Mytilus edulis: one gene and its partner. Each later gene encodes a partner of the first gene's protein in a complex. Links are inferred from orthologs where the notes say so. Each region holds a gene or a part of one and is shown on either strand. Other genes may lie near its edges.

What was found. The genes of interacting proteins can lie anywhere in the genome.
Region 2: the proteins of ubiquitin-conjugating enzyme E2 G2 (region 1) and lipid droplet-regulating VLDL assembly factor AUP1-like are in contact, whole or in part, in a crystal structure (PDB 7LEW), measured with the Homo sapiens proteins. The link is inferred for Mytilus edulis from reciprocal best matches to the Homo sapiens genes UBE2G2 and AUP1. Residues at the interface, in NP_003334.2 of Homo sapiens: Tyr13, Thr17, Pro20, Gly23, Ile24, Val25, Ala26, Gly27, Pro28, Met29, Asn30, Glu31, Glu38, Leu40, Met42, Glu45, Glu50, Phe51, Val53, Pro55, Lys156, Val159, Gln160, Ser162, Leu163, Leu165; in NP_853553.1 of Homo sapiens: Ser379, Arg382, Gln383, Leu386, Arg389, Lys390, Leu393, Tyr394, Tyr396, Ala397, Arg398, Arg400, Phe401, Thr402.

Annotation. Positions count from the first base shown.
Region 1 is NC_092357.1:21,469,737-21,476,609, forward strand, and holds the start of ubiquitin-conjugating enzyme E2 G2, read right to left. Parts: upstream 4,740-6,873; 5' UTR 4,633-4,739; coding exon 4,590-4,632; intron 1,192-4,589; coding exon 1,110-1,191; intron 649-1,109; coding exon 530-648; intron 1-529. Other genes in the region: DNA topoisomerase 2-alpha-like, read left to right, coding at 5,056-5,082. UniProt on the Homo sapiens protein: Accepts ubiquitin from the E1 complex and catalyzes its covalent attachment to other proteins. In vitro catalyzes 'Lys-48'-linked polyubiquitination. Involved in endoplasmic reticulum-associated degradation (ERAD).
Region 2 is NC_092347.1:74,199,289-74,206,161, forward strand, and holds the start of lipid droplet-regulating VLDL assembly factor AUP1-like, read left to right. Parts: upstream 1-3,507; 5' UTR 3,508-3,611; coding exon 3,612-3,637; intron 3,638-6,412; coding exon 6,413-6,547; intron 6,548-6,873. Other genes in the region: TATA box-binding protein-associated factor RNA polymerase I subunit B-like, read right to left, coding at 53-139. UniProt on the Homo sapiens protein: Plays a role in the translocation of terminally misfolded proteins from the endoplasmic reticulum lumen to the cytoplasm and their degradation by the proteasome. Plays a role in lipid droplet formation. Induces lipid droplet clustering.

The DNA of each region.
Region 1 (6,873 bases):
TACACACATATTTTGCAAAGTTCAACCTAAATGATTTTTAAATTTGTTTAAATTCACAGAAGTTCATAATGCCATTATAGTTATTTCATCCTATCATCAACAATATTACTACTTTGCTGCTTCAAAACACTCCCTTTTCCTTGAAGCTAGTGCTGAATTTTACCTATTCTATTTGCTTTTAACTCAACAATCATGAAGTCTGTTCATTTTACACATTTTTTTTACACTTCCCCTGAAATCAATTAACTGGGGAGACTTCGTGGTTTTAAAAATCTTTTAAAACTTGAAATCATGTTTTTGCCAGCAAAATTATATCGCTGACCATGGTATTGATTAATGGATTTTAAATTTATGATTTTTGTTGGCAGAGGAAGCCAGAAGGAAACCAGCTCCTAGTCATTTAGGATTGGAGTCAGATGCACCTGTCATCTGCTCACAACCTAAATGATACAACAGTTAAACTGCTTAAACAACTCAGTCACTGCCACTTTGTCAAACTATTTACTATAATGTTGTAATAGTGACTTACTATTTGGATGAAATAATTCACAAGTAAACTTCATCTTTGGAGGATTGAGAGGATAATCTGGTGGGAATGCTAGTCTTGCAGGAAACACTCCTCCCTCAAAACACGTATTTTCTGGTCCCCTGTAAGAAAATTATAATTTACACAATGATTAATCTGCATGACAATAGATCCTTCTCAACAGTTGTTGTCTAAAGTTTGGGACGAAAATTTCCTTTTTTACTTAAAAGACTAACATCTGACTTTAAATGGCCTTAAAGCTACTTAACTGGCTGTCAAATGACTGATCATTCATGGATTATTTAAAAGTTTGATCACCCACACAATAAAACATCATTTATTGAAATTCAATTTTGGAAAACAGAATAATCATTGAAACAAGGTTTGCAACTACTTCAACCATGTCAACTAATACGACTAACCGACAATCAATCAAAACCTACTTTCTGTAAGAGTTTTTTGTTTTGTTTTCAACATATAAATTCTTTATGAGGTTTGAATGTCCATTGTTAGAGTTGCTGTCTCATTGTTGTATACTTTAGATCTTCTGGAACATTTGTAAAGTGAACATGGAAATACATACATAATAAGAGCTTCCCATTCAAAGAAATTCTCCTCATTGACAGGTCCTGCTATAATTCCTTCAGGTGGATTTAGTGTCAATTCTGAAAATAAATGTCTCTCATCAATACATTTGATTCAACTGATCATGAGTCAGTCGTGAGACTACCTTAAATCATAGATTGGTTATTTCATGATATTTCCAAACAATTTTCATAAGATTCATCAACTAAAATGGTCTGATGATTTGAAAGAATAAAATGAACTACATTCCAACATTTTATTAGGCCTACTAAAATTAATTTGTAGATTTTCATACAACTGATTCAAGATCAAAGTCGTAAAAGCTATTGTATCAATTGCTGCCTACATCATTTTGTTTTTGTACATGTAGTTAATGTGTTTGTGACTTTTATTTTTCATCCACATGTATATAAATAAACCTGAGAGGAGTCTTGTCCAGTGAGAAGTAATGATGATTTAACTTTATAATAATAAAAAACTTATCTAGCAGAAAGTCCTTTAAACTATTTTTTTTTTCTCTTTGAACTTCACAATTTTTGCCAATGAAAGTTGGCAGAAGCCAGAATGGCACCTGTAGCACAGTGTAGGTTAATATGACAATATAATTACATTAAATGTATGTTTCACTATAATGCGTTATTCTGATTGGCTAAATGCACATCACATGTTATTCCTTAAGCAATTGCATTACTCAATAAAACTTTTCATTTATGATAACATGAGGTCCCACAATAAAGTGCCCAGGTGAATTAAATAAAAAAAAAATGATAAAATTCATGTTTTCATGATCCTAGCTAAAAAATGTAATAATAAGTATTGAATGCTTCTTTTTGTAACTTCATAGGGTTGTAAAAGCATTGACCGTGCGCACATTTTTAGAATGAAGTGCTTGTGTAAAGCAAAATTATATCCAGGTGAAATTTGATCCGAAAGGAAAAAATGTCACAGCAGTTGTTATTTTTTTGTCCGGAGGAAAATACTTCCCTGGGATATTTTTTCCTTTGCCGTGAAATTCTATCTAGGTAGTTAACTTATTGAATAGTTATTAGAAAAAACTTATCCTTTAAAAATACTATGAAATAATATTAGTGTATTTGAAATAAAGCGAAATTGTTAAAAAAAATAATGTATTATAATGGGAAATAATTTCACAAATTATCCTTGAAAAATTTCCTGAAATATTCAAGTCAATATCATCCTTTTAAAAAGAAAATTATCATGAAACAAAGGGAAGAAAACCAGAAGTAATTTCAAAGATCGTAATTGTGAAAATAATATCATGATTAAACAAGGTTAGTGAAATACATGTAAAAGTGAGTTGTTTTCAGATCTCAGTGCAAATATAAAATTAAAACTAAGGTAGAAATATAGTTGCATTACTACTGTTAACAGTAATAGAAGAATTTGATTATGATGATAGTTTTAACTATATAAATAGTTTTGTCTGGGGACAGAGATGTAGTTGTTGATTATATGGAAATCAGATAAATCATAGCATAACAATATATTGGAACAAAAGCATGTTTAACAGCTGGATAGTTTTTACCTGTGAAATGTTATCTGTCTTATTAAATCAAGTTGTAAGTCATCTTTTTATATAAATGTATGTATAAAAAAAAAGATTCAAGGAAAAATTTCACTATAAAATAGATTCAGAAATATATTTAAAATTTAAATTGCTCATAATTACCTCCCTTTGATAAATTATGCAAATTTGGTCTACCTTTGTGAAACATTTTATAATTATAGTCAGGTATAAATCGATTGTGAGTAACTTACATAGTAGTTAATGGGACTCTATTTCACACGGTTCTGTGAAATATAGTACGGCAAATATAACCATTACATACTATACGCATAACACAGATAGATTTTCACTCCTCTGGAAAAAATCAACCTGTGAAACACCATGCCTGGAAAAAAATTACCGGGACAAATTATCCTCAGGACAAAATATCACAGAGGAAGAAATAAACCGTTACACTTTCACTCTTCATACAAAATGTACTTCGGTCAACGCTTTTACACCCCAATGAAGTTACAAAAAGAAGCATTCAATTCTTAAATAAATTATAATATATGTGAATGTATGTATGTACTGGTAAATGCCTCAGTTATTAAAAAAAAAACCTTAAAAGATGCGAGGGTACAGTGGCGTCCATGTGCACGCCCTATCAGGATTAATGGAGATGTGTCACTAACGTACATATACATGTATATATATACGACAATTATTTTTACAAGGACAGTCAATCCCAACCAAAAACAAAGGGAGTGCTAGGACACTGGGAAGTCTATTACTAGGGTGGTGGAAGCAGAAGTACTCGGAGAAGACCACTGTGGCATTCGGCGGAAACAGACAAACCAGAGATATCAGAAGATTGATCTCCATGTCAAAGTAGGGGGCAACTTTGACCAACTAAGGTCCCAAAAGTACCCGTTCTAGTTTAAACTCTGGTCTGGGTACCAGAGATGTGTGCGAGAGTATGAAAATTACAATTCTGATGTACTGATATTTTTCGTGAGAATCAAAATTGGGACCTTCAGCACTGAAAACATGAGGGGGGATAGGAGGGGTCTTGATCACGAAATCCCGGACTTGAAAAAACGAAATCCCGAGGTCCCGAATTTAAATAAAGCAAATCCCGACATCCCGAAATCCCAAAAAAAAGGATTCCCGGATCCTGAAAAAGGTCAATCCCGAAATCCCAAGCTTAAAAACACCCAATCCAGGAGTCCCGATAAAGGTCCTATCCCCCCTCAAACATTGGTCTTGACTTAACCACTAGAACATGAACTCAGATTTCTTTAAAGAGTTTTTTTTTGTCAATACACCATATCGCTATATGTCGGCTATTACTGGATATCAAACAGGTTCCCGTAAAATTTTGACGTCACAAAACAAAACATCTGACAAAAGTGATTGTTGAATGCGTCAAAAGTTCAAGCGGCCGGGTCAACCGGGATTAGCGATAAGGTGCATGCTATGTTAATACTAGATAGGTCAAATTAGTCAATTTGATGTTAGAACGATAAGAAAAGGGTGTTGTCAGTGTAGCGATAAGTGAACACAACAGGGGTCCAGTTTATGTTAAAACTAGATAGGTCAAATTAGTCAATTTGATGTTATGAACCCTTAGAACAATAAGAAAAGGGTGTGGCCAAATCGACTTCGGCCGAAACAACTATAGCCGAACTGGTTGTGTGGCCGAAATATCTCGAAAACTTTTATGCCAAACCCAGTGGTGGATCCAGGGGGGGTTCCGGGGGTGCGCACCCCCCCTTTATTTTTGCCGATCAATGCATTTGTATCGGGACATATGTTTTGCACCCCCCCCCCCCCTTTGCCCTGGGTGCCCTGGGTTAGCACCCCCCCCTTTCGAAAATTCCTGCATCCGCCCCTGAAACCGACACCCGAACAACAAGCTCTGTTGATTGAAGACCCAATGAGATATTCATAAACATATCTGAAACTAACGCTTGTATTCTGCCATCAACCTTCTTAAGGCTGATCCTGCCATTTTGCATTATCAGTTTTATCAGACTTTTTTTCAACTCATAAAATCGTGTTGTGATTCTTTTACGTGGAAGATAAAAACAGTGTTCGACTGAACGACGAAATAAAATAAGTATTCATTGGTTAAAGTTTAAATTACATTGAATGGCGACCAATCAAATGGACTGTTCCGTTTTTAGCAAACAATGGACATTTAACAGAAACCCGTTGAAATATTAAACGATTCCGACAAGAATTAATATATTCTAGAAAACATGACATCTGGTTTTTAATTTTGGAAATATTTTCAAATTTATCAAATAGGACGGATTGCAGATTGGTGTCTTATGACAAATAAAAAATAGGGGCGACCGAAAAGCTCTTGGATTTTGCGGATCGTTTATGTTAATTAGATTTTTTCATCTTATGTGCTTGAAGCAAGGCAACAATGGCACAGGCAAGCCTTGAATGGGTTGTAAGTATTTATGTTCCGATTATTTATTGACGATTTCTCTCCAGGTAAAAATGACAAGTGAAGGGTCTGTGTTTATTTCTTTATCTAGAGGTCATGAACTTCTAGACCGGTCATGTGATTGATCCATGTGATTTGATTGGTTGTTTTTAGCGCACTAGATTTAAACGGAAAAGTAACATCACATTCACCGGAGTGAGCTTTTAGATACCTCTAAGCCTTGCAATGGCTACAAGTCCTTTGAGGGTAAATTTATAATAGTCATGTCATACTGTTTCTGTTTTCAGTTACATTTTGTAGTCATCTTTCATGCATGCAAGTTAAAGGACTTTGAAATACTTCTACTAAAAAAGGGGGAGGGTTTTATGATGTGTTTACAAAAATGTAAATCATAAAATGAGGAATATTATATGAAGTCACATAACAACTTTCACCAGGTTGCAATATGGTAGTTGATGATTTCCAGAGGACAGGCTGATTCTTTACAGTTGGAAATTAAGGTTTCCCTTCAATTTTGATTTTAAACTAGATTGTTAATCATTTCAAAAGAATCTCTGTATAATTTACATCAGACATAAGGGGACTTTTTTCTCAACATCAAAAGGGTAAACAATAGTACAAAAGACTTTTTAAATAGACGACTGTAAAGAAAGCTTGTTCTACAATTTTGACAGTCATTGTTTACACGATTGTCGGATTTGTAATGTGTAACCAGGCGTTTATATCTCAAACGTCTGTTCCAGTTAATACTTGGATCCAAGTTGTCCACAAACAATACAGCAATACTAAAAACTACAACTATCTACGTTATGCACAATGAACCAAAATATATACACTGGCTTTTTGCAGATACAAAATAAGTATGAACTCTATATATACAAGTTTATACAATATAACAGCCTGACCTCCTAATTGGACGTTATGTCACTATAAGACAATGTGGCTGGAACAGCTTGACCTCCGAATGGGACAGTCTGTCAATACAAGACAGAGTGGGCTGGAACAACTTGTCCTCCGAGTGGGACAGTCTGTCACTACCAGACAGTGCCGGCTACTACAGCTTGTCCTCTGAGTGGGAAAGTCTGCCTTGTCAATCCGATCAACCTGTACGTTCACTTGTACCCAGTACAAAGTGTCTCCTGAATATTAAAGCTCTCCTAGCGTCTTAATATTACTAACGTACGCTCTGATGATGTCTCATCGACAGCCAACCGACAGCCTTGAATGCCGTTTCTCGTTCTCTTAATATATTCCACAGGGCGACTATACTATTTACTTAATAGGGGTGTTCTCTAAATGTTAGCCTTACAGAGCATAGAGAGTTCCTTACGATCACCCCTATAACTTTCGACCCTGCCACTAATTTCCTTGCCAAAAGTCTAAATCCACACAACGCTTCTTTAGGCATAAAATATGCATATATACAACAAGATTCTCCTGGTTTATAACCATAACGATCAATAATCATTACAGATTGAACTGTGTCTACCAGTGTAACTCATTCATGAAAAAAACCATCAAGTTTAGCATATCCAACAAAAAGAGGGTACTAGCCAATTTTGCAAAAAATTGTTTAGGTTTGATGAGTTGGGTCAGAGGGTTCCTGATCCCGAAATCTCAGGCTTAAAAACATTTAATCCTGAGGTCTGGAATTTAAAGAAATTTAAATCCTGATATCCCAACCTTAAAAGCACCAGATCCAGACCTCCAGAAAAAGGTCCTGCCCCCCTCTTTCATGAACAGGTTAAGAGTTACCCAGGGTTCTCATTTAAGTAATTAGAAAGGACTTAATTT
Region 2 (6,873 bases), on another chromosome or scaffold:
CATACCATGATGATTATTTCAAACCTACACATTCACTTTTTATGATCCTTACTTGTGATTGTGTCATACAAATCTGACAAAAGTACAACCCATCTCTTTCATCAAAATCTGTCCCTTCACATTCCTGACAAACTGGCATATTTCTATTTCTACAAAAGATAAACGAGGGTTCATATGAAGCCATTCTGGAATTGTATTGCTTTGCTAGTAAAAAAATATTCTATTACCGAAAAACCAAAAATCACAGGAAACCTTTTGTCCTAAATGTCTTGCCTACCCTCTTGCTGATGAGAGTTTTCCCCTTTAGGTTGTGACTAACGGTGAATAATTATTTGACGTGCTCAAATACATTTCAGATGTGACCATGCAGTTCATAGTTAGCAATTATTGGGTTTCTCTTGTTGGTAATCTGGATCACAATACACTTTTCAGTATGGAAATTCATCTGCCATAGGGACTCCCACTTTTGGATTGTGCTTAGGCCTTGTAGTGTCATTGTTGTTCTTGATCTTTCTATAAACTAAGCATAAATTGGTCATCTGCAAATAACCTTACCACAGAAGTTGTAGTTTCTGGCTGTTCATTTGTGTAAGTCAGGAGTAAGAGTGGTCCAATGACTGTTTCCTGTGGCACACCTGAGATGATGTCAGGGGAGGGATTTAAGCCCTTCAAGAAATACAGATTGGGTTTTGCTAAAGGAAGTCTTGAAACCACTGCAATGAGAGTAATCCTTGTACCCTGTAATTGTCAATGTTATCGATGAGTCTTTTCTGGGGCACTTTGTCAGATGCTTCGAAGGAATCTAGCAGGCTGATGTCTGTCTCAGGTTCTGTTCTCCTCTGGATAAGTTCTTGCCAATTTCATCAAGGGTTATCAGGTGGGTTTCGCAAGATGGTTTTGCTCTGAACCCATGTTGATGGTCAAAGTGACCCATGATGGTGATGTGAACATTATGTTCCAACAGTTTACAGCAGATGTATGTCAGCTTTGTATTTTTAACCTTGTAAAGAAAACTGTAAGAAGCTCAGGATCCATAATTTCTGGTAAAGTCACATGATAGTCAGGTGTTCGGTTGTCAAAAGATTTCTGGTAAAGTATAGTAAGGTACGGTCCTGATACATATTTTAATGGAATCAATACGGCAATAAGTTGAATCTAATCATGTGACTTCCATCACTATGTGAACAAAATGTAGGCATCATCACTTCCAATGTAACATAAAATATTGTCCTCCATGAAATATTGTCTGTCAGACAAAATTTCAAATAAAATATTGTCCACTGACATTATTTCATAACGAAATATTGATCAATATTGTCCTGGACAATATTTCATTAAGCAATAGTGTTTTTGTCCATGAAATTTTGTCACCTCCTTCTGGACAATATCTCACTATGAAATTCTGTTCATGACAATACTTCACTATGAAATACTGGCTTTGAAAATATTTTTTAATCAAATTATTACACAACTAGCAATAGTACAAATCATGCAGCATGCACATTTTTTAAATTTATAACTGAAATGGTTTTGTTTAGCAAGGAATCTATAGTACTCATTATAGTGAGTTTCAAATTTGCATAGATACATTACAAATGGTTAATTATAAATTAAAGAATTGTCTTACGTATATTTTTCATTGTATTACATTATAACGGTACAAATATAAGTAATGCACTGACAATCACTTATTTTGTAAATATATACACAGGCATGTGTCGCAGGAAAGAAAATCCTATATATACCTTCTCTTTAATACATGAATATATGTTGATAACCTTCCCTTCATGAGACAAAATTCCATGACAATCAGTCTATGAATTTATATTGTCTCAATACTCGCACAATATAACCAAAATACATGTATAACCTCCCTTTAACAGGACAAAATTTCATAGTAATCACCTGTGAAATATTTTCTCAATTTACACAAAATATAACCTTCCTTTAACAACACAAAATTCCATAGTATTCATCTGTGAATTATTGCCTATATACAGACAAAATTTTACTATGAAAATTTGTCCTTTTCTGGACATATTTCCATAGACAAGGACAATATTTCATAGGACAATATTTTGCTTGACACCAACACATGCTGAGCAAACGGTTGAAAAAGTTTGAGTTTATATGGCACAAAATATTTGGGAAATCAAAATCTAATAAGATTATCACCCTCCCTTAGTTGTAAAGTAATCAAAGATTACGTACTTACAGAACATAAATTATTTCTATTCTATCCTACAGAATGACGATAATGAAAGTGCTGGAAACTTTTAATAGAGCAAGGATACAGGTGCACCTTCTAACTGGTAAATGACGTCAGAAAGGCATGCAAAATTGACGATCTTTCTAAGTTAAAGACATGATTTCAGAAATAGTGTATCCCGTCACAAGTTGAATACATATGTTGTAACATGGTAAGATTTTGACGCAATTTACAACAATCCCTTTTCCATTGTGGCGTCAGATAAGTATTTTATGACCTCAAAATTTTAAAGGAACCTGTGTGATATCCAGTAATGACAGACAAATAGCGATAAGGGGTATTCAAAATCAAATATATAGTTATCATACACCTTATCGCTATTTGTCCGCCATTACTGGATATCACACAGTCCCATAAATTTTGACGTAACAATACAAAATATCTGACGCCACAATGGAATAGTGATTGTTGTATGCGTCAAAAGTTCAAGCGGCCGGGTCTGCCGGGATACACCTTATCACTATTTGTCCGCTATTGCTGGATATCACACAGGTTCCCGTAAAATGTTGACGTCATAAAACAAAATATCTGATGCCACAATGGAAAAGTGATTGTTGTTGACGTCAAAAGTTCAAGCGGCCGGGTCAGCCGGGATTAGCGATAAGGTGTATTAGGGAGCTACCATTTGATTTTTATGGGGGGGCTAGGATGAAAAATTTTGTCCTGCCTTTTTTTTTAGCTGTAATCTCTGTCCTGCCTTTTTATTTTTCACTCTGTTCGGTCCTGCCTTTTTTTTTTAGTTTATCCTGACTTTTTTTTACCTAAATTGTCGTCCTGACTTTTTTTTTTTGCAAGTGTCTCATCCTGCCTTTTTTTTTTTACTCAAAACTCCTGTCCTGCCTATTTTTTTCAAATTTCATCCTAGCCCCCCCATAAAAATCAAATGGTAGCTCCCTTAGCGATAAGGTGTATAATTTTTATAGAGCATAATTGCGCTGCCTTGTAACACAAAGGTCCTGGGGTTCGAGTCCTGGTGGAGACAAAGATGATTTTTATGTTGAATCATGCGCTCAGAGTTTTGTTTAATATCAATGTTTATGTTATTATTGTGTGTATTTTTTTTTTAGATAAACCATGTGCTCCCCCTTTTTTAGTGTTTTGCTCTCTCTCTCTCTCTTTGTTTATTGTTATCAGACTTCGTTTAGTCAAAGAAAGATCCATGTAGTAGAAATAACTAACTCGAACAAGCACGGTTATTCTGCCTTGTTCTTCTTTATAAATCTTTGTTTACAGCTGTTTGCTGTCTGCTACAAGCAACCTGTCCAAAATCTCCCAGAAGTCATCTGTGAAAATGGTTGATGATTAGTACTTCCGGTTGAAAATGCACGATTTTTAGAATAACATGGACAGATTATTCGATATTAGCAGGTTTAAATATTTTATTTTTGAGTTCTCAAGATAGTAATAGTTATATGCATTGTATGTAGTTCACAAATTTAATGTATGGTGATTTGTATTCTTTATTTCGACATGATAATGTATGGCTCAGTAGAATTTTCTATAGACGTACCACAGAGTCAGTTCTATATTTTTTATAGACTACTGTAAATGACTTATGTATTGTAGGTTTCAATCTAAATCACTTTATGTATGGCTATACACATAATATACATATAACACATCTTTATGGTTCATCACCTTGGAATATCGTAGGGATAGGAATGATATGAGAGGGTGATAAAGGGTTATTTTCGTGCAACGTTTTCGGCCTTTTCATTTTACGTGTTTTCGTGATTTTGTGTTTTATTTCTCGTTTTCTCGTGTTTGGTTCGATGTGTGTGCTTGTATTTCCCCTTATTTATTTTCCGTGTTTCGTGTCGGTGCTCTTAATTTCTTGTTCTTACATTGTTCAGCATTTGATTAAAAAGTGAATTGGAAGTAACTCAAAGTCAGTGAGTTATAGTACCTTTTGAAACTTGTGTAATATAATAGAAATTGATGTATATTTTTACCATTCTACTTTCTATTGTATATGTATGCTATACATTTTGTACATGTAATAAAGTCCATCATAATAATATTTTTTCAAATCAGATGCAAGTAGCATATGCTTTAAGGTGACCACAAGGTCTTGATGTCATTTACAATGTCTACATGATCTCCAAGAACGGCTGTGTAATAACTTCTGGTACTTTTTTTCTTAATATTTACGATTTTATTTCTTTTGCTTCGTTTTTCCGGATTTTAATTTTTCGTGCTACGTTTTTGCGATTTTTATTTCACGTGTTTCCGTGTTCCGTACCCCCCTTTACCACCCTCATATGATACAAGTGGGTCTCATTGGCTGATTGGGGTCTAAGCGTGACGCAGGATTGCCGATTTTTTTGTAAGCGTTACACGTAAAAGTCAAATTATTGTGCCGTGAAAACGGGAAATAGGGTCTAGCAGGACATGGGAAATTACAAAAAATAAGAATTGCTTACGATCATAGTGTAAGCGGGATACAAGAATCTGACAAAACAGTAAGCAGAATCCAGCATCAGAACCCCCCAATGAGATCCCCATACAAGTCTACAAAGCGTTGCATGGTATAGATGACATCGACTGGATGAGCCTTTTTACTTTAGCACCATCTATTATACTAGGGGTCACTCATTAAAACTTTTTAAAAAACAGTGTAAGACTACACATAGACTAAATACTTTTTCAATTAGAGTAGTGGATCAGTGGAATAACCTGTCAGATTTAATGGTGTCGGCAAAGACTCTGAATAATTTTAAGTCTGCATTAAATGGCGAAAATTGAAACCCATATAAATTATATGTTCGTGTTAAGTGTTTCAGCTGCGCACACCTAAATAAGTATAAGATAAAGGTATAAAGGTATACAACCTTTATCTTAAACTGTCATATAAGTTTGGCTATTGCTGCAAGAACCCCTTTTCTTTAGTTTTAAGGGGGTCTCATTTGGGGAGGGGTCTGATACTAGATCCTTCTAATTGCTTTTAGTCCGATTCCTGTATCATATTCATCGTTGTAATGATAGGGCTTGTAATTTCATATGACCGACTTGATTTTATCTCCTGTTTTCACCACAAAAATTATCAGTTGACTTTCACTTTTCACGCTTACTTAAAAAATCAGCCAATCCTTTGTCACACTTACACCCCAATGAAACCTACTTTTAGGATACTTTCATGATAATCTTGCTCAAGTCAATAAGTCCCAAGTCGTTCCGCTACATGTAGATTAGTCCATATTTATAGTTGATCTGTCCTCAACTTAAAAAGATACATGTACATGAAGGGATAAAAATTATATTATATGAAAAAGAAGATATGGTATGATTGCCAATGAGACAACTCTCCACAAGAGACTAAATGACACAGAAACTAACAACTACATTGTATAGGATTGTATGGCCTTCAACAATGAGCAAAGCTGATACCGCATAGTCAGCTATAAAGAGCCTTGAAATGACAATGTAAAATGTTTCAAACGAGAGAACTAACGGCCTAATTTATATTTATACAGAAAATGAACAAAAAACAAATATGTTACACATAAACAAACGACAACCACTGAATTACAGGCTCCTGACTTGGGACAGGCACATGAATAATTATATGGCGGGGTTAAACATGTTAGCAGGATCCAAACCCTTCCCTAACTTGGGACAGCCACACAGTAATGTAACAGTACAAAATAAGAACCAACTTTAAAAATCAGTTGAAAAAGGCTTAATGAATGAGGTGGATACAAATACAAACACTACACAGAGTGGATGTGGCCGGGTACTTATATCCCAACAATAACCAAAAAGATATATATCTAAAGGGATTCTGAGATAAACATACAAATGTAAATAAAGTACTAGCTAGTCTTCCACCTGTCACAGGTGTCAGATACAATATGTCAAGCTCTTAATTCTCCTTAGCCTGTAAAGGTTGTAAATACATTCAAAAGAAACAATCAAAGATCTGAAAAAAGTACTTCCTCTTGCCATTTATATAAAGTCACCACTAAAACCTTTCTTTTTTTAGGGTCATTAACTAGTACATGGAGTTAGTAATTTTGTTGTTTTGAGGAATTTTTATGATGCATCATCAAATTTACATTTATAAGAAATGTTATAAATCTAAAAAAACAGTTTGCTCAGGTGCAATGTATATGAACTACAATATTCTACATTTTTATTTTTCAGATTTCCTGATCCTGGATCAGTTGTTTTGACGATTTTTTATTTCCCGTTTGGACTTGTTCTAGTTATTATTAGATTATTCATAGCACTTCATGGTTTGTTGGTGTCATGTATATTGCCAAAGTCAGCTGCTACCAGGTTTGTTTATGTACATTACACATACACATATCAGATTCCTAGCTACATGTAGCCCAATTATTGATATAATTCAATGGATTGAATGAACATGAACATTAAAAATTATTTTTTTTAATATTATCCTTCAGAAAAAAATATAAAGGGTAGGTCTATCACAGCTGTATGGTGCTGGGAAAAGGTAGAGGGGAACCCAGAAAGGGAACAAGCAAGCTGTATATAAAGCTGAGACAACTCAAATTACAAAAAAAAACAAAAAAAACCAATCAAACAATAATTATGAGACTCAACTAACATGACTAATAAAAATTTTCATCCAATACATCGAC